Callithrix jacchus: one gene and its partners. The protein of the gene in region 7 purifies or fractionates together with the protein of the main gene of each other region. This does not show direct contact. Links are inferred from orthologs where the notes say so. Each region holds a gene or a part of one and is shown on either strand. Other genes may lie near its edges. The genes, in order: ASAP1, PEAK1, EDC4, SOS1, DOCK5, EPS15 and CRK.

Region 1 (3,500 bases), on a different chromosome or scaffold from region 7:
CTCCTAAGGCATGCATCATTCTTCTTTCCTTACCCATAATTTGCTTCCTATGATTACCAGGCAGCTATGATTACTAATGTTTTACAGGTGAGGAAACTGAGGCACAGCAAGAACTTGATTTACCCAAGGTCACATAGTTAGCATTTGGTCTCAGACTTGAATCAAGAGCCATTTAATTTTTAAGTCTGTTGCTCCATTCATCAACACAATAACTGCCATTCACACCTTATGTAAGACACATGCAGCAGAGGCCTCAGAAGCCAGGCTTGGGCCATTCTTTTGGTTACTGGAAGTCTTCTAATTCATCAGGCTCTTGCTATCCTAAAGGGACTTTGACCTAAGCATAAAGGACACCCATGAGCATGAGCACTTGGTTACTTAATAAAATCAGTTGGTCTTTTCTCAACTGCATAGAGTTGAGAAAAGACCAGAGGCTATGTGCCATCATCAACCAGCTCAACTCTTTTTACTACCAACCCAGAATGAAAGAAAAAGGTATTGGCACAATGTTAAACTGTGTTGCCTGACTGTGAGGTGTTGGAAATAGCAACAGCTTCCACAGGTGGAATGCATATTTTTGAGCAAGAAAGTTTATATCCTTTGTGTTAGAGCCCTCTCAGAAGGTAGAAAACACTTCTTAGAAACTACATCCTTTAATTCAAAATATACCAATGTCTTATCTACATTTTCAGATTTTTTAAAAAAAACCTAAAGCTCATGAAGATTAAGCAGTTTCCCATGGTCACACAGCTGGGATGTTGTAGAACTAGGATGTAATCTGAAGTCCATTTACTGTCTTTTTTAAACTCATGTAACTGGGAAATTAAAGGGATGGATTCAGATACAGCTGGATCCAGGCTATCAGACAGCGTCACATGTACCCTAGCTCTCTTTCCCTGACTCTTACCTCTCCTTTCCTCATAGCTGACTTTCATTTTAGTCTTTGCCCAGAGGTGACCAGGGCAACCATTGGGCCACTTAGGTTATATACTCACCCCTGTCGCTGAGAGGTAAGCTGAGTCCTACCAGAAATACTTGAACTAAAGTGAGAAAGGTGATTTCTCAAGAGAAGGAAAAAGTACCTCACCCCTTCAGGGTTTGGGCATGTTACCCATGTGGTGTCGTGCTCCCACACCAAAACTTCTGCGGGAAAGATAGCTAACCTTCACCCCTTTGGAGCTCAATGCTTGGCCTGGGGTAGTTGCTTCAGTGACAACCTTTCTGAGCCTCAGTTTCTTCACCTATAAAATGGAGAGTTATGGCCAGATTTTGGCTCACGGCTGTAATCCCGGCACTTTGGGAGACCAAGGCAGGAGAATTGCTTAACCTTAGGAGTTCAAGACCAGTCTGGGCAACATAGCGAGACCCCACCCTTTAAAAATTTCATAAAATAAATAGGAAGTTACATCAGATGACAAAAATCCTTTCCATGAAGCTCTGAAAACTGTTAATTGATCTTTTATAATGTGTTTAATTTCTTAAATTTTTTAATTTTCTCATATATATCAGAGTTTGAAGTATTTACACTTGATTTCTCATGCTGTTGGTCAAGATGAAAAAGAAATTTGCTGTGATTTATGTATTTAACTAATATATACAGGTAATAAATATAGTTTACTTCGTAACTATATTTATTACCTGTATATATTAGTTAAATACATAGTATTTTCTTTATTCTGTCTCTATTGGAATAATTTGGTCTAAAACCTGTTTTGTTTGAATGGTGAAAAGAAGCATATCTTAATTAAAATAACTTCACAAAGAGAAATGTTTGTCAGAAAAACATAAACCTTTCTTAGCACTTGGAAAATAAAAATTCTTTATTTTATCTTGTGTTTTAGGACTGTGCGAAAAGAATATATCACTGCAAAGTATGTAGATCATAGGTTTTCAAGGAAGACCTGTTCAACTTCATCAGCTAAACTAAATGAATTGCTTGAGGCCATCAAATCCAGGGATTTACTTGCACTAATTCAAGTCTATGCAGAGGGGGTAGAGCTAATGGAACCACTGCTAGAACCTGGGCAGGTAAGTCCTCACTAAAATCATAGGATAAAGAGTAATGTGGAAAATCGGTTTAAAAGGTGACTTATTTTAAAATTATACTATACAATGAGACTCTTATACATTGGGTGACCATGTCTAAATCAAGAGATTTTGAGAGTGAAAATGTGTGCTCCTTATAATTACTTCGACTAATGTATATGACACTTCCCTAGGCAGAGCATATGATCCACTTATTTATACTTTTTCTTCCCTTTTTAGGAGCTTGGGGAGACAGCCCTTCACCTTGCCGTCCGAACTGCAGACCAGACATCGCTCCATTTGGTTGACTTCCTTGTACAAAACTGGTATGGTTTTTGTTTTCTCTATTGAATTACCTGAATATGCCTTATAAATTAACACAAACCAGTCCTATCAGTGGCCTCGATCAGGAATTGGCAAGCTTTTTCTGTATCATGCTAGATATAAAAAATATTTTTTACTGGGAGATGTCTCGAAATGTAAAATCCCATCCTTTGGGTTGTGGGGTTTTTGTTTTCTCCAAACAAAATCTGATCTTTAAGGTTAATATATATGTATTGGCTTTGCAGGCATGAAGTGTCTCTGTCAGAGCTATTCAGTTCTGCCATGTTAGTGTGAAAGCAGCCATAGACAATGTGTAAACAAGCGAGTATGGTTCAATTCCAATAAAACTTTATTACTTTATTTATAAAAACAGATAGTGAACTAGATATGGCCTGCAGGCTATAATTTGCCACCCCTTGGCCTTTATAAATGTAAAATTCTGTTTGTATTCAAAACTCTTCTGCACAGACTGGACACATTTCCCAACCATTAGGAGAGGTTAAAAGAGAGAAGACTTAACAGCACAGGTTAACCAGATTTTTGAGTTTTCATTGTTCATAAATTTCATATGAAACAGCAGCAGTGTGTGTGGCTGGATCAGTAGCTCATTCAAGTTTGGGACATACTAATGGAAGTATAATAGTGAAACAGGAAGTTTGGACTTGCTGGATTCCTTCTTTATTCTTTAGCTGTTCTGTAAGCAACAGATTTGTGAGGAGGGACTAGAGCTCATCCAAAGAAGATGATCAAAATATTAGGGGATCGGAACCCGTATAGGAAGAATGGTGCATAGACACAAGCCAAATTATATAAAAGTCCAGGTTTCTTCTTCAGAGACAACATAGCATAGCGGGTCAAAGCATTGGCTCCAGAGACAGAATACCTGTGTTCAGATCCCTGCTTCACCATACCCATCCTGAAAATCTTGAAAGCAAGCACTTCAGCCTCTCTGTGCTTTAGGTTTTTTTATCTGTAAAAGAGGCTATTATTAGTACTTACCCCATCAGATGGTTGTAAAGATTCAATGAACTAATACATGTACCATTAAGAAACAATGTCTGTCCCATAGTTCCTGGCACTCTCAGTAAATGCTAGTTGTTACCACTATATTGCTTATAAATCTAGGTTAGAAACATAATTTTCTCTGTAAT
Region 2 (4,060 bases), on a different chromosome or scaffold from region 7:
ACATTAAAAAGCCTTAAAGAAAATAATTTGACGTTTTTTCCCACATAATATAGTCATGTTAGAGACTCCAAAATAAAGACATGATAAAATATTTCCCTTTCTCTCTCTGACAGCAATGAAAAGGGTATGTTTGTTTTTTCACATAGTTTGTGAGTTGGTCATATCCAAAACTCACTAGCAATGCTATTAATTCTACTTCCATTGTTAACTGTTCATCTCTGGACTGAGGCTACAACCCTCATCTTTGAAGCCAAGTAAATGTACCATATCTGCCATTATAGTTTACTAAACAAGTCACCAAAGAGAAGTGCCAGGCAAGTCGGAAAGTAATTAGGGTAGTCAGTGAATTGAGCTGTCTAGAAATGCTCTGAGATTACAGGAGAAGCCATCGTGAAGTGAGTAGCCAAGATTGCTCATGGAAAGTTTCACCCCTGTGGATAATCCGCGTTTTTCACTTCCACACTGCAGAGAGCAATATGGGTTCTCTGACTACACACATCACTACATCACTTCATTTATCAGGGGAAAAAAAGGCGCTGTCGCTGAACAAAAAGCAGTAGGTAGGCCCCAAAACAGAATTCTGAAGGCAATCCCAGTTCAGGTGAAAAGCTGCTCACGTACATCATCCAATGACCTAAAAATAGTCTTTTATGTAAGTCTCTAAGTATTTAATTCAACGTACGATCTTACCACATTCAATAGAGACAAATATATATATAAATTAGCTCTTCTATAGCAAGGCCAATAAAGATGAAATCATAGTTTTCCTCTAACTCATCACTACCCGCTCAACGCCAGCCTTCCAATAACTCCATTCCACAGCTCTCAAATTCCTGAACTTGGATCTTTAAAAAACAACGAATCGCAAAAAGTAACATTTAACAGGCCGGAGGCAGGCGGGGGAGGAGGGTCCCTCCCGGTGCTCTCAGCAATCTTTAACGTAGCCAAAGGAGGAAAAAACGAAATCAAGCTCCCAGACGGATGGTGCATGCGACGAAGGGGGAGGGGGCAGACGCGGTTCAGACGGCAAGTCCCCATCGAGGGAGGAAAGAAAAGTTGCAAGATGAGTCAAAGGGCAGAGAGGAAACAAACCGAGCAGCCGAACCGCTCACAACCCCCAAACGACCCCGCCAGCCCACACATTCGCAGGCTCCCCAGCCGCAGCGCGAAGGGAGCAGGCAGGGAGCCACCCAGGTCCGTCCCGACGCTGCCGGCGAGGCTGAGCCGATGCTCGCGGGTGTGGGGCTGGCTGACCGTGCGGACCCAGCAGGAACCAGAGCAGCCCTTCCTGCCCCGGCCTCCCCGCGTCCAGCTCCTCCAGGCTTCACTTTCCCCCGCAGCCTCCCAGCCGCGCCCGGGGGCGTCCCTCGCGGCGGGTCCCAACTTTCCTTCCTCTGGGGGACGCCGCGCTCCCGGGGCCGCCGCCGAGGGAGGGGGCAGGGGTGGCGGGGGGCGCGCGGCATCGGCAGGGCGCGGGGGTGGCCGGGGAGCGGGAGCCCGCGCCAGGCGGGACGCACCGGCAGCCAGAGCCCCGGCGGCGGCGCCACCCAGACCCCGCGCCGCGCCACCCCGCCCAGATTCCCCCGGGTCAGCGCCCTCACCCCGCGGCAACCCTGGTCCCACCGCCGGCGCGTGAGGAGAACGGAACCCAGGGTACTGGGGCAGCCGGGCCGCTGTTACCTGAGGGGCGCACACGCCGCCGCGGGGACCACCATCGCCGTCGGTCCCGTCCCCTTCCTGGTAACCACGGCCGCCGCCGCCGCCGCCGCCGCCGCCGCCGAGCAACTGACACTAACAACAACTAACTAACTACTCGCCGCGGCCGAGTCCACCGCGCGCTCCCGGCCGCTCGCCGCCCGCCCAGCCCACCAGCCTGCCCGCCTCCTCCCGGCCCCGCGCGCCACCCCTCAGCGCGCGCCCTCGCTCGCTCGCCCGCCGCGCTGCTAGAGCCGTGAGCACGCGCGCGCGCACGGACCCCTGCCGTCTCCCAGGCCTCCCTCAGCCCAGCGGGAGGAGTCGCCGCTAGGCCCCTCCTCTCTGGTCCAGCCTCCGAGGACGACACCTAAAGGGTGCCTGATTGGCTGCGGAGGGCGGGGCCAAGGCAAGGGGCGGGCTGCCGAGACCTTGAGCCCGCGTGAGGGAAAATTTGGGTTCGATTAAGCGTCAGAGAAAAAGAGCAGGGAAGTCTGGGCCCATATGGGCGTTAGAGCCCGCTAGGTCAGCCGTAATCGAATACAGAATATGTTTTCGAAGACGCTAGTATATAGTCATGACCAATTTCAGTCCCTCTACTTTCTGCGGGCCTTCGCAATTAAAAAAAAACTACATCTCCCAGAAACCTCCACGAAAATAAGGCTCACCTTGCGTAACCACGTAGTCCTTCGCCGCATTGGGGCAAAATAATCCCTCCATTTTTCTGAAGGTACCGTGGATAATATTTCATTTTTCTCCTCACCGGAGCACTTGTAAATGTTATGCGGCAAGAGGAGTTACCTGTGAGAAGGTGGTTAAACGATTAGGTAAAGAGAAGGAAAGGACACCAAAATAAAGTGCTGCGGAAGAATTTTTGTCCAGCTGTGAGATGACGAGTGCGTGGAGTGAAGGCGATTGAGAGGGGCTGAGGGAATTGTCCTCTGTGCGAGGGACTTTCTTTAGGCCCCAGGCCCCTTCCTGCCCCTGTCGTCAGCAGGTCAGTAAGCAAGGCGAGCTTGGGGGTGGCCCCAGTGGAGATGCCCTTCACCCCTTGACGAGCACCCCTCTTTTGATGGTGGTATTAGTTTGTCTTGGTTGAAGGCCGGCTGAATGGGGGCGCCTCAACTTCCGGTTGGGGGAGGGGAGGAGGGCCGTCCTGGGGGAGGGGGACACCCTCACTTCCTGTGGGGGGGTGGTAATGGTTTGGGGGTGTCCAACCCACTTTCAGTGCTGGTGAGGGCTTGAAAAGGCGGTGCTTGGTGCCATTCGCGGAGACCGTATCTTGCAGCTTTGGGGTTGTGTTTTATGTGAAAAGTTAGGTTATTCCACGTTGTGGTGAGCACCAACCTGCAGTCAGAATTTATGAGTTTGTTTCTACGTGGAAGACGAAACATTTCCTCCTGAGCAAAACTGTCTCAGTGCTTTCTTCAAAGAATTCAAAAGCCCCGGTTAGAATTCTCTACTTACCTCTGCAAGATGACCTATCTTGTTGTGTGACTGATGAATTGCCAATTTTACACCGTACTCAAGTCCAGCCTTGGCTGGGTGAAGTGTGGTGCCCTCTGCCTTGACATGCAACAGGAAATCTAGCTCCTCTTTTTTTTTAAGGAGATAACTTATTATTTAGGGGACTGAATATTTTACATAAAATCTGGGGCATTTTCATTAGCAGAATGAAAGTATCACACTGTAGTACTCAAATTTGATGTTACCTTAACTGATAAAATTGACATCTTATACTCTTGGGCCTGCTGATTTGGGGCTGTAGCCTGTTGATTTGCCCGGTGCCTGAGAACACCTTCCTCGGCCTTAAAAAATTCTTTCTTTCTTTTTTCTTTTCTTTTCTTTTTTTTTTTTTTTTTTGAGACAGTTTTCCTCTTGTTACCCAGGTTGGAGTGCCAGCTCACCGCAACCCCCGCCTCCCGGATTCAAGTATTTTTCCTGCCCAGCCTCCCACCACCACTCGCTGCTAATTTTTTTGTATTTTTAGTAGAGACGGCATTTAACCACGTTGGCCAGGCTGGTCTTGAACTTCTGACCTCAGGTGATCTGCCCGCCTCAACCTCCCAAAGTGCTGGGATTACAGGTCTGAGTTACCGCGGCCTAAACATTCTTATATGTAGTTTACACGTAATGCTTGTGAAAGTTGTATTTGTTGTTATTATTATTATTATTATTATTATTATTATTTTGAGACAGAGTTTCGCTCGTTACCCAGGCTGGAGTGCAATGGCGCAATCTCGGCTCACCGCAACCTCCGCCTCCTGGGTTCAGGCAATTCTCCCGCCTCAGCCTCCTGAGTAGCTGGGATTACAGGCACGCGCAACCATGCCCAGCTAACTTTTTGTATTTTTAGTAGAGACGGGAT
Region 3 (4,222 bases), on a different chromosome or scaffold from region 7:
AACTGAGCAAAGCATGTCCGTGAGGAGGGGGGGCCCTGTATTCAACTCTCATTCCATAAACACTGATGTATGCGGGACCAAGGATGAGCACGAGGCTATCCTACCTGGGGGAGGGGTACAAGCCATCAAAGACCCTTTGAGGCCAGTTCATACTTAGGCCCGGGTCAGTACAGAATAACTGTGGACTCTGAGTGAGCGCACAGCAAGGGTCAGGAAAGACTTCACAGAGCAGTCAGTGTGGCCAGAACACACAAACACAGCAAGGATGGAGGGAAAACAAAGCTGCAGAGGCCTCAGGTATGATGCTGTGGCACTTAGACTTTGCCTGTGGGCCATGAGAACCACAAAGAGTTTCAAAGGGAAAGGTGATGTGGTCAGCTCTGGCCAGTGGGATGATTATTCTAGGGTAGCATGCAGAATGGTTGAGAATCTAGGTGAGAAAGATCAAGGCCTAGACCAAGGTAGTGTCAGGGTCTGGAGAGAAGATGGACTCCTAAGGCATGTGAGGGGCTGCCCCATACAGAAATGGCTCAGGAGAAGCTAGTTTTAGTAAGAAAACTCAGGAGGTAGGGACATAAAGGAGCTAGACCAAAAGGAGAGAAACTATAGGGCAGAGTGTGGCATCAGAAAAGGCAGCATTTCAGTTCTTTGCAACTGGCTGGGTTTCAAACAGGCTCATAGGCTTAGACACCATTTCCAAACCGCCCCCCTAGGTGGCAAGAGCCTAGGGCTCCACATTCAGGAACACAGAAAGTTTCCAGTCTTTTAGTTCTTTTGTTTTTTTTTTCCAACTGAGTCTTGCTTTGTCACCCAGGCTGGAATGCAGTGGCGCGATCTTGGCTCACTGTAACCTCCACCTCCTGGATTCAAGCGATTCTCCTGTATCAGCCTCCCAAGTAGGTGGGATTACAGCTCAAGTAATTTTTATATTTGTAGTAGAAACAAGGTTTTACCATGTTGGCCAGGCTAGTCTTGAACCCCTGGGCTCAAGCAACCCACCCACCTCAGCCTCCCAAAGTGCTGGGATTATAGGCGTGAGGCACTGCACCTGGCCCTCAACAGTCTGCATTCGGACCTGGTCCCCCAGTGAGAGGAGACAAGAAAGAGCTCCTTGGAAAACAAGGGAATCAAGTGCCAGTCAATAAACAAAGGAGTTATAAGGAAAGTGTCTAGGCCACTTCATTCGGATCAGAGCCACTTTAGCTGCTCAGGGACAAGCTGACCACTCTCCCTTTCATGAAGGCTACCAGGAGGACAACCAAAAACAAGGCCCAGGCTGTACATGTGTGGCCATGCCAGGCTCTACCAAATCTCTGTGGAGTCTAGTCTGCAACTGCTGAGCAGCAGGAGAGGTCCACACCTACTCATGAGTAAAGAAGGCACACATTCCAGGCCTGGGGCAAAGGGCCCAGTGGTCTCAGGCAGCAGACGGATTTTCTGAGTGGACATTAGTTGAATCCACCCTTAGTGAGCACCAGTGCCTTCCAGAAGCAGCCAGTCTGGGCCTCCAAGCAGGTATAAGAACAAGATCTGAGGAAACACCAATTCTCCACTGCACACCCACACCACCATCACCAGCCACTTCAGAGATTCCCAAACCTATCAGTAAACTGGTGTCTGCATACGTGCTATTTCCTCTTTGTAATAGGTGGCTTCTACATAGGTGCCTTGAGTGCCTTTCCTGACATCCAAGCCCTTGTTCACATTACAAGACCTAGCCCAGTCTCCTCTCTCAGACCTGCACACTGCATTCATCAGCCTCCACCCTTCCCATGCCCATCACAGTATCAAGACACTCCTTTCTTTCAATGACAACAGTATATTACAACCCTGTTAGCTCTCTGTGTCTTGGGGGATCTTTGGGAGCTAGACACAGGGATACCTAGTTCTTAGGTATCACTAAGAGCTAAAGCGAAACACGAATGAAGGTAAACCAATTAGGGCTTGCAGATATTTGTAGCCTAATTCAGTCAGGGTGTTGCGGTCTGTGATTTGCCTTCATCCCAGAAAGAACATGGAACTGAGGCTGGACACCTTCCTCCTGGAAATCAGTTTCAGAACGGGAGGCCTGGAGTCTATTCCAGAGGGAAGGGCAAGTTATGGAGGGGGACTGGCGGCTCTTCAGCACCGCGATTAAGCCTAGGCCCAGAATTCCATATACGGAGCCCAGACAAGGCCTCTGAACCATCGCGAAAGCGAAGAGACGCCAGGCCGGTCCCAGGAACACTAGAGACCTCGGGGCCAGGAAACCAGAGGGGCCCAGCTGATTCAGAAAAGGGGCCTCACCTTCAACTGACATGCTGAAGGACGAGGCAGAACAGCTTGAGGAAAGGATAGGGAGGGGTCACACCCAAGGGTCTGCGCCCTTCCAAGGGGGCAGTGAAGAAACTCCGAACTCCGTCCACCCTTACCCGCTGAGAGGATACAGAGCTGGTCCTAAAGGAGCTGTGGGCTCCGAGGGCGGTTCAGAGGCTCGCCGCCCTTTTGTCAGCTCGTCTGGGGCCCACCCCCGCAACCCTCGCTCACCGCCCGCGGGCCGGTCCAGCTTGAGGATATCCCGCAGGTGCTGCGTGGCGTCCTCGATGTCGATGCTCGCGCAGGAGGCCATGGGCCCAGCGGCGGGCGCCCCGCCCGCACCGCGTTCGTTCCGCCGCCGCCGCGCACCACCCACCCTCGCCCAGCCGCGACAGGGCGAGACAGCCGGACACGGGTCGCTACACTCAGTCCACTCTCAGTTCTCAAACCGCCGCCCGCGCAGCGTCCCTCAGCACCGCCACCCCCACCAACCGCCTCCACTTCCGGCCCCCACAAGCCGAGGCTCCCGGAATCTGCCAGGGCCAGAGAAGAAAGGTTCCGGGCTGGGGGCGGACGCCTAAACCCCTCCCGCAGTCCGTCCCCATCTGCGGCCCCGCCCCTGAACCCGAGGGGTCAGGGAAGTTCCACAGGACTGAGGTAAGCGTCCACGCATTGGGCCACCCAGAGCCCTACTCTACTCAGAAGCCGCCCGGTCCCTGCCCACTCTCAGAGCGTGGACTCTGATGGTCCTAGGATGGGGTCAACTCAGCCGCCCGTGCTAAGGTCCCTGACTCCCAGAATAAGCTGAATTGGCAGGAGCCTCAGGTTCCCTTGGGGAATGGGTCGTAATAACTCAAGGCCCGAGGCGACCGTCGAGGCCATAAAACCCAGGAATTGCAAGAGTAGGGGAGATGGTCCCACCACAATAATCATTGTTCCCTACTGTCCCCCAGCACCCTCTTGTCCCACCTGGCACCCTCCGGTTGGAAGAATGAAACCACAGTTTACAAATTCCTCTTTATTGCAGACAGTTCAGGCACAGGTACATGGAAGAAGCTGTATTGCAGATTTTATACAGGGTGGTTTGAGGCAGCAAGTACCTACCTCTTCCCCACCCCTACTTCCCCAAATACACACCAGCCTAGAGATCATTCCCTGAAATCTCCTGAGCACCATCCAACCCTGTGCCCAGTGTCACCAGGCAAACTTTGGGATTTGAGGAGGTCCTTAGCCTCCACCCATAGTGGAAGAGGGGAAGGGTATCCTTTTACAGGTCAGATTTAGCTGTGGTATTCTTACCAATCCTAAAACCCCTAACGGCACTGACCCAAATCCTGGGTTTGGTTCTAGCCTATGGTTGCTACATTGCCACTCGGTTTATACCATCCAGAGGTCTGTGGGCTGAGGGGCCAGGTTCATACTGGGCAAGGCCTTTGTCCCCAAAACAGAGAAACAGAACTGCCCTAATAGCTAAGACTTCCTGGGATTTGAAGATAGCATGAAGTCTCTATGCTGAGGAAGGAAGTGAGAGAGGCCTGCAATGTCCTGCAGAGGTCTGAGTGTTGAGGATCCCTAAAGCATGAGTCTCTCACACTCAGATTGCCTCCTTCCACAGCTCCTGACCTATACTACAACCCAACTGGGCCTGGCTCTGTGGGCAGTGGAGGCTGGCTCTGCTGGGTACTGGCCTTTGTGTAATGATATCCAAAGCAGGTGGGATAGGAGCTGAGCTGCCTCTGCCTGGCTTGGTGTATGTGAGGCAACCTGGATATGATCCTGATCCTCCTGGGGATATAGCAGGCCTCTCCCTTTATATTGCTGAGACCTCAACCTGGAGGGCCTCTCCAGCTTCAACAGGATTCAGGATCATCTCTCCTGCTGCTAGAGCCCTGAACCTACCCAGAGCAGAAGTCACAGGAGGTATCAG
Region 4 (4,141 bases), on a different chromosome or scaffold from region 7:
GTCTAGAAGGATGAGTAGTGTTGGATCAGGCAAAGAAAGGTGAGGGGACTAGCATGTCCAAAGAGCCTCAGGTAAGAGTAAGAGAGCACAAGTTGGATGCATCTATAAATAATTCAATAGTGAATCAAAAGAAATCAAGATATGGAGATATCCACATGAAATGTCCAGCAGGCAGGTAAAAATGTAGGTTTGGAGCTACGGACAACATATCCAGATATGAAATACACTGTATTTTCAATCTTGTCTTAGAATCATAGTTATTGGCTATTTAAGAATTGGAAGAACCTTACACATTAGCTAGATTATGTATACTTCCACCTTCTTCTATCACTTACTGCAAAAGTATCTCTACCTTAAATTCAAAAGTTGGTTTACGTAAATAAACAAAGAGGACAAGTGGGGGTTGTGGTAAGGTGGAGATACATGCCTTGTCTAAAGAGGACAACCATTTACTCACCTCCAGCAGTTTAGTGCCTTGCTGGAATACAGGCCCTAACTAGCAAGAACTTCCTATTCTTCAAGAAAAGCTGAAAATTCAGATTTTATGTAATATCTCCCATTTTCAAATGCCAGCAACTAATTACATTTAAAAATAAAACAACACTGTGCCAGCCAAACAAAATGCTTCTAGGGACAGATTTCAGCAAGGGCCACCAGCATGGCAGAATTAAACAAGGTCTGTCAACTCCTACAGTATTCTTCCACTACTTCAAAAGATCCTAAGCTGATAGCTTGGTGATTCCCCCGGGATAGGAGCTGTTTTTGCCTCTAAGCAAAATGGCCCCTATTTGGCAATGCTTTATGAGTTCCTTTACAGGTTTTTAAACAATTTCCCTGTCTTCCCTTACCCTACCTGGACATCAGCTTCTGGCAGCACAGAGACCTCCTAAACCCCTTCCATTACACGCTAAGAAGTCAAACTTGCAGGTAAAGCAAAAGTAAGTAGTGAGAACCTGACGGGATTTCTAAGGATTAAAGTACATAAGACATATGGCGGCTGGGTGCAGTGGCTCACGCCTGTAATCCTAGCACTTTGGGAGGCCGAGGTGGGTGGATCACCTGAGGTCAGAAGTTCAAGACCAGCCTGGCCATCATGGTGAAACCCCATCTTATTTAAAAAAGAAAAGAAAAGGATATATGGCATCTTTTTGGTTTTCTTTAAAAAAAAAAAAAAGAAAAATCACATAGGTGTTCGTGACTAGTCAGACACCTGAAGGGGAAAATGTCAGTAACTTAAGTCAGAAATACATAAGCAAATTCTCCTAACAAACCAAATAGTTTCCACTGTAAGATAGCAAGAGGGACAAGAGAACAGGGCAAAGGGGAAAGTAAAAGTTACTGGCCTTTAAGCACTATCAGACACCTTTTAATGCTTAGCATAAAAGGTACAACATAATCTCCATTCTTAGTAGAAGCAAAACTATATGTTAACTAATTAACATGAAAGAGTCTTCGAGCAGCAAGAAACAGATTTAGAAACACTCTTAGATGAGTAAAGCAATCTTTGTAGAAAAGGTAAATGAAGAAAAGGAAACAAAAATAGTCTAGTACACTGTTGCTCTAGAAGCTTTAAAAATGTAACATTTCCTAATTATACTAAAACATTTAAAAACACAGCAAACTTAAACATACAAAGACTAAAAATTCTTAACAAGCCAAATGACAGCACCAAGAATCTCGAATGCCGCAAAAACAAAACAAAACCCCTGAAATTGGTAGCATGTGCACCAGCCCCTGTTAATCCGAGGAGCAGGGGAGATCAGGAGAACAGAGAGTGATTACTGAGGACGAGCGGAGCAGGCCACGCTCCTGCTGGCAGGCGAGCTCGCAATTCCTTAGAGCAAGCGTTACGGCCAGGGCATTCTCAAGCCACTAAAACGAGCATACTGGACACCTAAAACATGAGGCTGACAACAGCTCCGGGCTAAGACCGAGAAGGCGGAAAAGTGGCCTGCTTTGACCTCCACTGAAAACTGAGGCTTCTCCAACCGTTGTCTCGGAATCAAAGGGCAAAGCATTCACCTCTCGGGGTTGGATTATTCGGAGCAACTGCCCGCGGCTCCCCGCGGCCTTCCCACACTACGGGTGGATGTCAACACTGAGAGCCAGCCGTGTGGGGGACCTCCCCGTGTGCGCCGTCCTTTCGGAGACGCGGCGAGACAGGGAAGAAAGACGGCCCTGCGCGCGCGCCCCGCCTCCCCAGCCCTTCCCCTGCGCCTGCTCGGCGCCCGCGCTGGGGGGCTGCGGCCGGGAAGCGGGGTCCGGCGTGCTCCTCACCTTTTTCAGGGCAGGCACCAGCAGTCCTCGCCACTTGGGCGCGTTCTCTTCGCTGAAAAACTCGTAGGGCAGCTGCTGCGCCTGCATGGTGCCCCCAGGGCGCCTCTGGGCGGGGAGAGGGGCGGCGGCGGCCCGGCCGGGGAGCCGCGAGAGGGCGAGCTCGCTGCGCGGAATAGGGCCGCGGCCCCACCGGACGGCCCGGCCCCCTCCGGGCGCCGCGCAGCCGGGCTAGCCCTGGCGAGGGGGCTGAAGGGCGAGGCCCACGCCCAGCCACCCACCCGACACGGGTACTAGCCGTGGAGAACGAATGCGACCCGGAGGCGGCGGCATCCCGCACCACCGCCCCGGGGCCAGGCCCCCCCGCCCCTCCCTGGCCCGCCGGCGCCGCCCCGGGCGGCCCGCTACACCGCCGCCGCCTGCCGGGGCTGCACTCCCGGGTCCGGCCTGGCCCCGCGGCAGAGCTGGCGGCTGGGGGAGGACGTGTGGAGGGACGCTCTGGCCGCGGCGCCCGCTCCGCGCAGTTGAGACTCCGAAACGCAAGAGCCCTCGGGTGGGGCGGAGCTGGGGGAGGGGGTTTCGCGGGGAAGGGGAAGGACCCGAGGTCGTTGTTGGGGAATCTGGCTGCCCTGAGGTGCCGCCGCTGCCGCCGCCGGTGTAGCGCTGGAGCTTCCTACTAGCAAACTGAACCTGCGCGCTACTGAGCATGCGCTGCCGGGCTGGGCTGGTTCGCTCCGGGTTTTCCGGCTCCCGGTGAAGGAGGAGGGAAGCTGGGGGCGGGGGGAGTGGGGAAGGGAGGCAGGGCGCCTGACCGGGCTGTGGTTGCGCTCCTGGGGACTCCTGAGGAGGGGCGAAAGGGCCCGAGAAATCGAACCCTGGCAAAGTGGGGCCTGCAGAGGGGGTAAGAACTACGGTAAAGAAGCCCCCACTGTGTGGTCTAGCCGTGAGGGCTCCTACCCCTCTCTGAGTCCCTGGGCCTTTCGTTTCGGAAAGGGGCGTGTGTACTTTGTTCCCGAACACAAAGATAAGGACTGCCCAGCACGCAATGTATAGTAAACAGACCGGACAAAATATACAGGTGCTCTGTCTCGAAACCTACTGCTAAGTATCTGCTGGGCAATAGAAGTGATCGCAGTGTTTTTAACTGGTCTTTCCACGTCATCAAGAATAAAATGTGTACATGTAGTATTGATTTTCTGTGTGTGTTAGATTGCATTTGTTCATCTTTTCAACCCTCTCCAAATATGAATTCCAATAAGCACTTTCCTCCAATGGATACTGAGACCTCTTCTAAAGCTCCCAGAACACTGCACTTATTCCTCTCTCAGGGCATTTGGTCTATAGTGTTTTGTATCTTTTGTGGTTCTTTCAACTACATAATAAACTGGAAGGCAGATTTTTTTCACCAGGTCCTCCACACAGAACAGGCACTCAGTGAAAGTGGAATGCTAAAGGACCGGTATATATAAACTGTCCCTCCAGGCCACTGTTTATAATAGTGGCACTTTGTGGCAGACACCTCATGGTTTATCATTAATGATCACTTCTGGAGTATCATCTGATTTAATCCCCATAGCAACCCTATTATTTTCATTTCACCGATAAGAATGCAGTTTAGAGGAACTAGCTTGGGTTGAAGCTGACATTGTGTCCTGCTATTCCTAAGAACAACAGCCAGGATCACGTAGATGAGAAATGTTCAGTGGTTCATAATCTTTACAGGACCTCTGTGAAAATCTGAAAAAGAAAAAAAAAAAAGAAAGTCTTCAGTTATTTCCTTTAAAAATATACAGGCCAGTGGGCAAGGTGGTTCATGCCTTATAATGCCAGCACTTTGGGAGGACAGGGTAGGTGTATCACCTGAGGT
Region 5 (3,006 bases), on a different chromosome or scaffold from region 7:
ACAAGTTGTCTTCTAGAAGTTTCCTGGGTATAGCCTAATGCAGCAAGCTGGGTTATTAGAAACTGTAGTACAATTTTCTGTGTGTAGCCTCAATTTCCTTACCTACTAAGTAAGGGGGCTTGTTGGTTGATTTTTGAGGCTTCCAGCTCCAAACATCTAAAACTTCATGCGGCTATTTATGTATGTAATATTTGGTCACCTAAATCACTCCATTTTTTCTTCTGAAAGGAATACGATTAGTACCATTAGCAAGTAATCAAATTAATTCCACAATCAAGAGGAATAAATACTGGAAGGGAGATATTGCACTGTATTCTCCAGGGTAAAATCAGGGAGCAGATGGGCCTGCTGAGTCATCCAAATGGGGTCTGGAAAAGAAGCTGCTGAATCCGATTGCTAAGTCCCTTGTAGCCAGTGATTTGCGCTCAGAGGAGGTAACAGGACAAAAAAAAAAAACCGTGTGTGCAAAAGGAAGAGCTTCAAAGAAGTCCATAGGGAAGGAGTGGCTGCAGTGCGTAGAAGGCCATTAGTCAGGAGCGTGGCGGGAGAGGGAGACGGCAGCTGTCCCATGCCACGAGAAGATGGAAGCTGGGAGGACGCAGGAACTCAGGGCTCACATTTGAGTCCATGCTCTTTTAATAATGACAGCCACATGTACCTGAAAGCACCCGATCTCCTTTAAAAACGTGTGTTCTTTTCCTCAAAGGAGACACAGTCGACATCAGAAAGATACGATTATTTCAGCTACCAAAGTGTATTTGGTGTCCACATCTTCCAAGATGCAATATGGGATGGGATGGATGTGTTTGCACAAGAAAAATACCTAAGTCTCAAGCACACCTTTTCATAAGCAAAGCAAAAATTCCTTCCAAGGAGTAGATTACAGGCGTTGCTCCACCATCAGTGTGGAAGAACTCGTCCAGGCTTGTGCAGACCACCATGTCTCTGCGGTACAGGCTGACATTTAACAATGGTGAATGCGATCTCTTCTTCGAAAAATTCAGAGGATGTGGCTGTTCTGGAATTCCATGTGGACTGGAAGGGAGGTGACATGGCCTCAAGCATCTATCAAAGAGAAGCTTTTGGAAGAACATAACTGGTTTTAAGCTGGTAAACGTCATCCCAGATCAGGAGACGCAGCAGGGAGCCCCGTGGAATGAGGACACTGGCTGGAGGCCAGTTCTCAGGCAGCAGCTGTCTAAGGTACTCTGTATTGCAGAGAGGGCAAAATCCTTACTGGGATGCAGGCTCGGAAGTAGGGATGCCGGATTTCCGAGCCTTTGGCGGTGGAGGAGGTGGTGCTTTGGCTTCTCTTCGGACAGGCAGTGGGGGAGCGAGCTGTAGGAGCAGACACACAAATTAGAAGCAGGTTTTAGTTTTCTTCCCAACTCTGCCTTTTCCTCCCATTTCCCACATTCTGCTTTAGCTTCTCATTGATCTGAGTTTATCTACCTAAGCTTTGCAAGGTGAAATGGAAAACTACACGCATTTGTCCTTCTTGTTTCCTGTGAGTTAATCAGACACACACACACACACACACACACACACACACACACACACACAATTGCACTCCAGCCTGGGCGACAGAGCCAGACCCTGCCCCCACTCCCACCCCCCCCAAAAAAAGTGAACTAGAACTCACAACTTATTTCACAGGTACCCAGGATGAGGTACAGAGAACACCTGCTCTACCTTTATCATCTGCTTGAATGTCTGTCCTTCCCACTGAAAACTTCTCTATCTCTTGTGGTTTCAGGAATGAGCCAAGAATCGACTGCAGTGACAGGTCTATGAGCAAACCTGCCCACTACAAAGCCTAGAAAACTCGATGCTGCCTGCCAGGAGCTGCACTCCCTGGCCATAGTTGCCAGCTGTGGTTTCCCTACCTCGGTGGAGTTCCTCTGGCTGCCCTCATAGGGCTTGCTTTTGGGGGGAGGTGGCGGTGGGATGGGAATGGCTGCAAGTCCATCTATCTGCAACGATGGGGAACCTAGAAATGACACAAAGGGCACACGGGCAGAGAGAGGCACTGAGCAAGGAAACTCACAGAAATGCTGCTGGCACCTTAACACCTAAGCCAACCCGGTCAACCAACTTGTGAAAGCCACATTCTGTGGTTTCTGTGAATAGAATGAAGACTTCTCACCCAACATTACACAGGTAATGCTCTCGCCAGAAAGTTTTAAGAGCTTCACAAGATGTTCTGAAGCAAACACTTTATTTTTTCTTCAGGGTTTTGCAATTAAGATAAAGATAAGAACATTTTCTGGAACGTATGGTATTATTCTGTTCTCTGATAGAGCCCAAGTGCTTAGGAAAATATTCCCTTCCTCCAGGAAACTGTAATTGATTAACTCCTGGTTGACAACTGTCTCCCATCTGGCTCTGATAAACCCATCCCTCCACCATGTCTCTGGACTACGGGTACCTTGCAATTCTTCTCAAGTGTTGTGCACTGCTGGTTCCCCAAGCCAGACTGTAAGCAGTAGATGGAATGGGTCTATTTCTAGTCCCTGTCCAGGTCTGCCTAACCTAATGGTTAGCTTGTAAGTTACTTGTTATCTGTCTAGTCCTAGAGCAGATCTGTCTCATTTATACTTTCACAATTATAAAATGGACACTAACACCCTTTGGATCACTCTCCAGAAAAGTGGTTTGTTTTTTTTTTGAGACCGAGTCTTGCTCTGTCGCCCAGCCTGGAGTGCAGTGGTGCAATCTCCGCTCATCACAGCCTCTGCCTCCCGGCTTCAAGCAATTCTCCTGCCTCAGCCTCCTGAGTAGCTGGGATCACAGGTGCACACCACCACACCTGGCTAATCTTTATATTTTTTTAGTAGAGATGAGGTCCCTCCATGTTGGCAAGGCTGGTCTCAAACTCCTGACTTTGTGATCTACCCACCACAGCCTCCCAACGTGCTGCGATTACAGGCATGAGCCACTGCACCCGGTTTATCTAGAAAAGTTTAGGGCTGGGCGCAGTGGCTCAAGCCTGTAATCCCAGCACTT
Region 6 (4,271 bases), on a different chromosome or scaffold from region 7:
TGCTCTTGTTAGCTGGCATTTGCCAAAAGGGGTCTGAGTAGAATTAGGAGTTCCTGCAGAAATTTTTAGAATGATTTGCCTGTGATGGCAATAGTCTAAAAACTTAGGTGGGGCTAACTCCATCCTGGGTCTTGTTCAGTTGTCTCTCCTACCATGGGGACTGCTATGGTAATGGTAATGGGTGTGGGCCTGATAGAGTTGCAGTTTGTTGTCATGGGAAGCCACCGTGACTGAGAAATTAAGACCAATTTGGGTAAATACATTTATTGATGCCTCTGTTTGAACTGTGAGGTAGATATAGTAGTGAATCAGCCCCTTGTCCTCAAGGATTTTACAGTGCAGTGAGGTGCAGACAAGCCCTCAACTAACGCTTACAAATAAGGCAGAGCATAAAAAAGGTCATATCAGAACAACTTAGAGGTGGGGTGTGGAGTTCCTAGAAGGCTTCTTGAAGTAGGTGGTATATATGTTGAGCCTTTGAAGATGAGAATTTCAAGTAACTGGGTATTCCAACTGAAGGTTGGCAGCATCAGAAGGTGTAGGATGTGTTATGTTTAACATAGGCAGGAAGGAAGGCCTTTATTAAGCACGCACTGTAATTCCAGGGTCTGACAATATAGAAATATATTGAAAATAGACCTTGCCATCGAGGAGCTCTTAATTTAGAGGGGTAGATAGGTGTAAACTGTCATTAGGGTGGTGACTTCACAAAGTAGAGAAGAAAGGTTATAAAGGAGACCGTGTAAGTAACTCTGACATGAGAAGGAGAGAAGATACTTTGCAAAGTAGGTGATACTAATTATGTCCTGAGAAAGGAGGAGTCTGCCAAGTGGACGATGTAAGAGTGCTACAGGCACTACCGTTCCCTTGTTAAACAATCTAAGTGTGACAGGCACCAGGCAAATACCTTTCCAAATGGATTTTGGCTGTGGGAGGGAATGACTTAATGTCTTCTTTTCTAATATACTAGCAGATAGTTAAATCTAATACTAGGATTCTAATCCAGCTATATAATTAGCTGTATGACCTTAGTAAGGCACTTGTTTCAGTTCCTTCATGAATGCAATTCAAAAATATAAGAGTCTAGTACAGAGCCTGGCATATATAAAGTGCCATTATTATTTTCTATCATTATCTCATTTAGCCCTCGTAAGCAGCTTGGACTCTGGTTAAAATTTCCCCTATTTTTCAGAAGCAGGAGCTCAGCGTAGGTAGGTGAAATTCACAGGACAATCTGGAGTCGCCTCCGCAGCCCGTCCGCTTTACTTTAAGGTCCGCGCCGGGTTTTCCCAGGCGGACCCGGGGGCAGGCTCTGGTCCGGCGGCTGTTACTCCGGCGCCAAGGTTTGGGCGGCGCCGCGGCCTGCTCGCGCGGGCGGGCCGGCGGGCCGGCAGGCGGGCGGGGGCAGGCGGGCGGGGCCAGGCGGGGCGGGGCGGGCGTGAGGAGGGAAGTTGTGGAAGTTAGGGGAGACGCCCGCCCGCCCGCCTGGGCCTCGCCTACAGCCGCTTCCCCCGCCTCCTCTCCTCCCCGCCCCGAGCCCTCGTCTGCCCGTCCTTCCTTCCCCTCCCTTGCATGATGGAAACACCATGGCTGCGGCGGCCCAGCTCTCTCTGACACAGGTAACGCCGCCCGCCTGTCCGCCGGGCTTGGCCGGCCGGTATCCCCCTCCCCCACCGCCCTCAGCTTAGCCAACCCAGGCTAAGCGGGCCTGGCGACCGGCGTGTGTGAGCGAGAGCGGGTGCGACTGCGGGAGGGCGCCCTCCCGAGCTGGAGTCCCAGCGCGGCCGCCGCGACCTCGCCCCGAGTCGTTGGGCGCCCCCTGCCCCGCCCCCCGCTGCCTCCGTCGCCCACTCCGGCCGCCCTTTGCTCCGCCACCGAGCGGACTGTGACCCGGCTCGCGCGGGGCAGCTTTCACTCACCCAGGAAGTTTTTTCCCTTCGGGCCGCACGCACCCCAGGTGAGCTCTCGTTGAGCTCGCGCGGGCCGGCCGCACCCCCGGGCCGCACGAGGCTCGCTCGCTGGGCCGGCAGCGCGCCGCCCCCAGTTGTAGTTGCCTTCCAGAGCCGGACGCGCAGCCCCCCAAGTCAGGTTTTCCTCTCCAGATCTGCCTTTCTCCCGGAGTCCGACGAAAGCCCTTCCTTCCCAGCAGTTTAATGTAGTTACTAGCCTCGCCTCTAAAGAAGTCTCATCCTACCCATCTACCCCCTCTGCCAGCCCCTTCCTCAGTTCAGCCTCTCCCACTCCTGATCAGGTTTCCTTCTGGGTCAGACCCCCTATGCAGCCTTTTCCCACCCACGTCTGCTTCCACTTCCACTTCCCCTCCAGAGGCGCCCGCTTGATTGCTGTGCAGGTGGATGCCCTTAACGGGTGTGGTGGCTCCGCCAGTCTTGGTGTCAGGAACGGCCGCCCGGGGAGCACTTGTCTTGAGGGAATCCTCAGCAAAACTTGTCCTCGAGCTTCCCTCTTGCCTCGTTGCTTCCTGTCAGAGTCCAGTCCTCGTGCTTCTCAGAAAACCTCTAAACATTACTCACACTGGGAACCTGGTCCCTCCCTCTCTGCAGAGAAGCCAATTACAATGTAAACATGGTGTCCGGGATGATAAGGTGACAGACACCTGCCAATCCCTTCCTGCTCCTCTGACCCAAACTTCCCCCACGTCTCCTTCTCAGACGGCTCTCTGCAGAGCTGGTGGCGCGTGCTTCCCGATGTGTGTGTGTGTGTGGGGGGGGGTTGGTGGCACCCAGTCCTCCTTGCCTGCTTTGTGGTATCTCCCTGCCATCTTGTACTCTCCTTGGCCTAGATTCGTTGGTGCTTCTAAGGCTTTAGCGCTGGGATAGGGCAAACATTTGGGCACTAGAGTTTTCTGTGTTTAGGATCAAGAGGCTTCGGGGTGCTTTGCCTGGCACTATAGGATAGAGAGAGAGAGAAAAATGTCTTCTCAGAAACCGGGAGTCACGTACATACTTCATGTAAAATAACGAATCGTGTTTGCAGGAATTCTAAGTGTCATAAGGGAAGTCTGTTTCCCAGTTTATTTGGTAGTGGTGTTTGTCCTGTTCTGACAAGCAGATAACAGCGGGGAAGAACCCTTTAACATGGAATGTGGTGGTTTAGTCTTGGTTATGTATCTTTGGAAGGGTCCTCCCAAAACTCAAATTTGAGCAACGACAGCACTGACTTTTTCAGGTATTCACTTTCTGTGAGTCTAGTTAGTGACTTGCATTAAACGAGATCCCTGTTGGTGGGCTGTTGTTTTCTGGCTCTGTTGGCCAGTTCTGGCAGGAGTTTTCCCTTCTTGAAGATTTTGTGCTCTTGAAGACTTGCGTAAAATTGCTTCTCAGTTGTGTGCATACTTTATTATCGCCCTGGGTAATACCATGTTTTTAGCTTCTATTTACTATCATTCATCTCTGGAGAATTACTTCAGGCTCTGTGAGTTTTATGGTCATTTAAAAAATTTACATATGTTCTTGGGTTATATAGGTATTAATGGGGACACAGTAAGTACGGACACAGTAAGTACTCAATCAGTAGTAGCTATTATCCTTCAGTGCCTCACATATGAAAGAATATACATTGGTGGCCAATTTTTATTGATAAATAAGTAAATTCAGAATATTCTGATTTTCAAACATGAAGAGGTAGTAAGAGGGATTATGAAGGCACAGGAAGAAAACATTTCCAGTTGTTGGTATACCCTAACGTGCCTCCTTATTTCAAAACTTTGCAATTTGTGATTTTTAAATTTAATTCTAATTTTTAAAAACTGCTTGAGCCCAATTCACTAAGATAACAATGCAGCCTGGTTTCAGATTCATTATTGATCCGTTTGTCATCCTCTGTTTTCCCTATCCCTCCCATCCTCCCAGCACACATGTTTAGACAGAGGCATACTCAAGTGAGAGATCATTCAGGCCAGGGACATCTTTTAATCCATCTTTCTTCCATAGTATCTATCTGGAAGAAAGCAATTAATAACTGTTATAGGAATGACTGAAAGCTCTAAAGGATTCTGTGACAGTTATGGAGATTAACATGCTGAAGTTAGTTTCTGTCTCTGTTCATATGATGGTTTTCATTTAGCAAATATTTTAAAAGGACCTATAATGTGCTAGACACTGTACTGGGATTATCTTGTTTATAATTTCTTGCCTTTACCAATTAAGCAAAACAGTTTGGGGGGAAAAATGTGAAAAGTATTTTAGTGGCTAGGCTTGGTGGGTCATGCCTGTAATCCCCAGGACTTTGGAAGGCCAAGATGGGTGGATCAC
Region 7 (3,500 bases):
CTAACTGGAAAGTTAACAAAGCAGTCAGATGGATGACATCTAGTATCAGGGATTTGTTCACTCAACATTACTGAGCACCCACTGTGTGCAGAGCACTGTGCTAATGTCTTTATCAAGCATTACCTTAGTGTGAGGTAAAAATATATTAAATTAGTGTCAACGCATCAGTCTGCTTGTGGCCATGTGGGGATCCTGTGCCACGAAACCAGCTTCTCAGTCTCCTCATTCATTCAGGCACGTGCATGCTGACTGTGTGTCAGGCAATGCGCCAGTCCCTGGGATACCATGATTTGTTGAATGTTCAAAGAATGCTAATTTATCATATTCACCTATGCAGAACAATTAGAAAGGTAGATTCTCCTTCCAAAATGAGGTCCAAAGGTGTTTCTATTGTCATACCATACCATAGACCAGTAAGTGCCTTTACGGACTGAGAACTCACTTGGAAGTTTCATGCCGTGGTCTAAATTGCCTAGATCATTTTTGGTCTCATCTGTCTATTTTTTGGAGCACCTGACCCCATATAAATCATTCCATACTTAAATGGGTTTGTAAACAAAACCTGAACATGAACAGAAAGAACCAGAAATGAAGGCAGTTTATAATGTAATGTACTTCAATAGCATCACTCTGCCCATAAGACGTGAGGGATACGTAAGTAACTCACGATTGCTTCTAACACTTTTCAAAGCACTAACCCTACCCCAAACTCATTTAATACTAACTTGACTTTCATACAAGTTGCACAGAATACAGAGGGCAGAATTTGGCCTCAAAACCTTCCACGGACTATTAGAGGTGATTGGTCCTTCCACTCCAAGCAGAACCTAAGAATTCCAAGAGTCTCCTGATAGGATACTGGTACTCGGCAGAAACGGCCCTGTTGGATCCCATTAGTTAAGACTCTGTTGAGCTGCTGTAGAAGGGTGACCTACCACGACCCTTTTGGGAAAGGCAGAGAGCTGGGAGACTGGCTGTCCACTTAGTGAATCCAACACTGCCTTAAAGCTATGCACTGAATAAAGTACTCGGTACATCCTGCTTGTCACCTGGAATGAAAATACAAACTCACCTTAGGAATTAACCTACTTACAGGTTTGGGGGAAAAGAATGACAAGGGCTAAAAGAATCTCAAGAAATAGTATGAAGCACTGACTAAGAAGGAAGACAAATGCTTCTAGTAGTGTTCTTAGAATTCTTAGGGTCTGCAGTGTCACAATGAGTCATACAATGGTCACGTTCCATAAATGAAAGCAGTCCTGCTCCATACTATTCACACGGTGCATGATTACTTCGTGGGAGTAGAAGGGAACAGTCTGTTGCCATTCGACAGTATGGTTCCAGAATGAAAACAGAACCACTGAATAAATCAGGGTAAGCAGTGTGTAACTCTTTCCTGTCCGTCGGTTTTCCACAGGTGATCTGCACTGCCTGAAAGGAGGCAAGACACCTCTCCCTCCTGATACACACAGGCACCGCCACTACCTCCTCAAATCGCCAATTCAGAAGCTAACACACAGCCCTCCAGTTCGTACCCTGAATGTGCTAAGTAAGACTAGGAATGGAGTTGTTCAGTCTAAAAAAGATCACAGGTAACAGAATGCTTATATAAACAAGACTGCTTTTGACATCTGTAAGAAAATTGTATAGATGGCAGTTAGAAAAAAAAAGATTGTTCCCATGTGTCAGCAAAACTGTTGAGCTCTACTCAGCTGAAGTCCTCATCGGGATTCTGTTGATCCAGCAGACGAACATGTGTGAAAGGGAAGTGACCTCGTTTGCCATTGCACTCCCCTTCCCACTGACCACTCACATTAATCTTCGTAACCTTTACCAGCTCACCGACCTGCAGGAGGAGAATAAGGACAGCACTTTATTTCTGGTTAGGAATGCAGCGGACAAACTCCATTCTCTGCTCAGGCATACCCTGCCCATGTGATCACTCTAGGGATGTCACAGAAATGGCCATTTGCTGCCTCCCCAGCCCCAGCCACCAGACTGATTACTTGTGGTTAATGCAGGCAGAAGGAAGAAGTGTTTTTAGCAGTGCAGAAAAACACAGAGAATACAGAAAGTAAAAGAGGATCCCAGATAATGATACTTTTTGATTAAAAAAGAATGATAATGAATGGAAATCCCAAGCATCTCTACATGAGCAATCCTGGTGTCAGTGAGCTCGCTAGTGTTCCCTTTCTTTGTACTCACTGCCCTCAGCATTCCACCTGCCTGCAGGCCCTGTCCCAGGACAAGCAGCCTTTCCCTCTTTGGCATGTGGTAGCAACACAATCCCGCCACCCACTAGCACACACACATCCTGGCCTGTTGCTGCTTGCATAGCATCAGCGATCACGGCAAGCATATATGTTATGTGGTCCTAGAAAATCCTGTGTTCCTATCACTCCTGACCAAAGCAAGCCTTTTCCCGTATGGGCAGGTAGAGGCCAAAACTCCAAATCCAATTAGCTTCCTGAGAGACCCCGACCTAATTCTGCCAGCTCTATTTGACAAGCTACTGCCCGCCCTGCCAGCAATCCCACCCTCAGACAGACCTTGAGGCTCCCTCAATGCCCCTTGCTACCCAAGCATTACCCAATGAGGGGATAAAAAAACAACTATGGTTGGGCGCAGTGGCTCATGACTGCAATCCCAGCACTTGCTGACCTTGACACAGGTGGATGGATTCCCTCAGCTCAGAAGTTTGAGACCAGCCCAAGCAACATGGTGAAACCCGTCTCTACAAAAAATACAAAAATTATCCTTACAAATGGCTAGCTTAAAAATAAATTTTAAAAAATATACTGGGTGTGGTGGTGGCTGCCTATAGTCCCAGCTACTTGGGGGGCTGATGTGAGAGAATTGCTTGAGCCCAGGAGGCAGAGGTTGCAGTGAGCCGAGATTGCGTCACTGCACTCCAGCCTGGACAACAGAGCCAGACCCTGCCTCAAAAAAAACAAAACAAACAAAAAATCCCTATTGTTTTGTCACGTATTTATAAAATGTCTCTTGTTGCAAAATGAAATATGAAGTTCTAACAATCTACGATATACTACGAAACTTAAGAGGTCAACCTGATGAATGAATTCACCATGTGAGATACTAAATACTAAACGGTGAGATAAAGTCTCAGATGTCACTGGACTAAAGAGTTTTTTTTTGAAGGCTGGGCGCGGTGGCTCAAGCCTGTAATCCCAGCACTTTGGGAGGCCGAGGCGGATGGATCACGAGGTCAAGAGATCCAGACCATCCTGGTCAACATGGTGAAACCCTGTCTCTACTAAAAATTACAAAAAATTTGCTGGGCATAGTGGCGCGTGCCTGTAATCCCAGCTACTCAGGAGGCTGAGGCAGGAGAATTGCCTGAACCCAGGAGGCGGAGGTTGCGGTGAGCCGAGATCGCGCCATTGCACTCCAGCCCAGGTAACAAGAGCGAAACTCCATCTCAAAAGAGTTTTTTTTGGTTGTTGTTTTTTTTTTTTTGAGATGAAATTTTGTTCTTGTTG

What was found.
Region 1: the proteins of CRK (region 7) and ASAP1 purify together in Homo sapiens (affinity purification with mass spectrometry; 3 studies listed by BioGRID and IntAct, with this or other methods). This does not show direct contact. The link is inferred for Callithrix jacchus from reciprocal best matches to the Homo sapiens genes CRK and ASAP1.
Region 2: the proteins of CRK (region 7) and PEAK1 purify together in Homo sapiens (affinity purification with mass spectrometry; 4 studies listed by BioGRID and IntAct, with this or other methods). This does not show direct contact. The link is inferred for Callithrix jacchus from reciprocal best matches to the Homo sapiens genes CRK and PEAK1.
Region 3: the proteins of CRK (region 7) and EDC4 purify together in Homo sapiens (affinity purification with mass spectrometry; 3 studies listed by BioGRID and IntAct, with this or other methods). This does not show direct contact. The link is inferred for Callithrix jacchus from reciprocal best matches to the Homo sapiens genes CRK and EDC4.
Region 4: the proteins of CRK (region 7) and SOS1 purify together in Homo sapiens (affinity purification with mass spectrometry; 6 studies listed by BioGRID and IntAct, with this or other methods). This does not show direct contact. The link is inferred for Callithrix jacchus from reciprocal best matches to the Homo sapiens genes CRK and SOS1.
Region 5: the proteins of CRK (region 7) and DOCK5 purify together in Homo sapiens (affinity purification with mass spectrometry; 3 studies listed by BioGRID and IntAct, with this or other methods). This does not show direct contact. The link is inferred for Callithrix jacchus from reciprocal best matches to the Homo sapiens genes CRK and DOCK5.
Region 6: the proteins of CRK (region 7) and EPS15 purify together in Homo sapiens (affinity purification with mass spectrometry; 3 studies listed by BioGRID and IntAct, with this or other methods). This does not show direct contact. The link is inferred for Callithrix jacchus from reciprocal best matches to the Homo sapiens genes CRK and EPS15.

The regions. Positions count from the first base shown.
Region 1 is NC_133517.1:67,190,895-67,194,394, forward strand, and holds part of ASAP1 (arf-GAP with SH3 domain, ANK repeat and PH domain-containing protein 1), read left to right. Parts: intron 1-1,841; coding exon 1,842-2,028; intron 2,029-2,265; coding exon 2,266-2,351; intron 2,352-3,500. UniProt on the Homo sapiens protein: Possesses phosphatidylinositol 4,5-bisphosphate-dependent GTPase-activating protein activity for ARF1 (ADP ribosylation factor 1) and ARF5 and a lesser activity towards ARF6.
Region 2 is NC_133509.1:23,586,960-23,591,019, reverse strand, and holds the start of PEAK1 (inactive tyrosine-protein kinase PEAK1), read right to left. Parts: upstream 2,801-4,060; 5' UTR 2,361-2,800; intron 1,816-2,360; exon of another isoform or gene 1,681-1,815; intron 1,602-1,680; exon of another isoform or gene 1-1,601. UniProt on the Homo sapiens protein: Probable catalytically inactive kinase. Scaffolding protein that regulates the cytoskeleton to control cell spreading and migration by modulating focal adhesion dynamics. Acts as a scaffold for mediating EGFR signaling.
Region 3 is NC_133521.1:25,404,472-25,408,693, reverse strand, and holds the start of EDC4 (enhancer of mRNA-decapping protein 4), read right to left. Parts: upstream 2,801-4,222; 5' UTR 2,609-2,800; coding exon 2,527-2,608; intron 1-2,526. UniProt on the Homo sapiens protein: In the process of mRNA degradation, seems to play a role in mRNA decapping. Component of a complex containing DCP2 and DCP1A which functions in decapping of ARE-containing mRNAs. Promotes complex formation between DCP1A and DCP2.
Region 4 is NC_133515.1:75,898,062-75,902,202, reverse strand, and holds the start of SOS1 (son of sevenless homolog 1), read right to left. Parts: upstream 2,801-4,141; 5' UTR 2,365-2,800; coding exon 2,278-2,364; intron 1-2,277.
Region 5 is NC_133514.1:16,102,364-16,105,369, forward strand, and holds part of DOCK5 (dedicator of cytokinesis protein 5), read right to left. Parts: intron 1,991-3,006; coding exon 1,887-1,990; intron 1,339-1,886; coding exon 1,234-1,338; 3' UTR 1-1,233. UniProt on the Homo sapiens protein: Guanine nucleotide exchange factor (GEF) for Rho and Rac. GEF proteins activate small GTPases by exchanging bound GDP for free GTP. Along with DOCK1, mediates CRK/CRKL regulation of epithelial and endothelial cell spreading and migration on type IV collagen.
Region 6 is NC_133508.1:88,416,372-88,420,642, reverse strand, and holds the start of EPS15 (epidermal growth factor receptor substrate 15), read left to right. Parts: upstream 1-1,471; 5' UTR 1,472-1,586; coding exon 1,587-1,619; intron 1,620-4,271. UniProt on the Homo sapiens protein: Involved in cell growth regulation. May be involved in the regulation of mitogenic signals and control of cell proliferation. Involved in the internalization of ligand-inducible receptors of the receptor tyrosine kinase (RTK) type, in particular EGFR.
Region 7 is NC_133506.1:66,815,796-66,819,295, reverse strand, and holds part of CRK (adapter molecule crk), read right to left. Parts: intron 2,735-3,500; coding exon of another isoform or gene 2,662-2,734; intron 1,847-2,661; coding exon 1,709-1,846; 3' UTR 1-1,708. UniProt on the Homo sapiens protein: Involved in cell branching and adhesion mediated by BCAR1-CRK-RAPGEF1 signaling and activation of RAP1.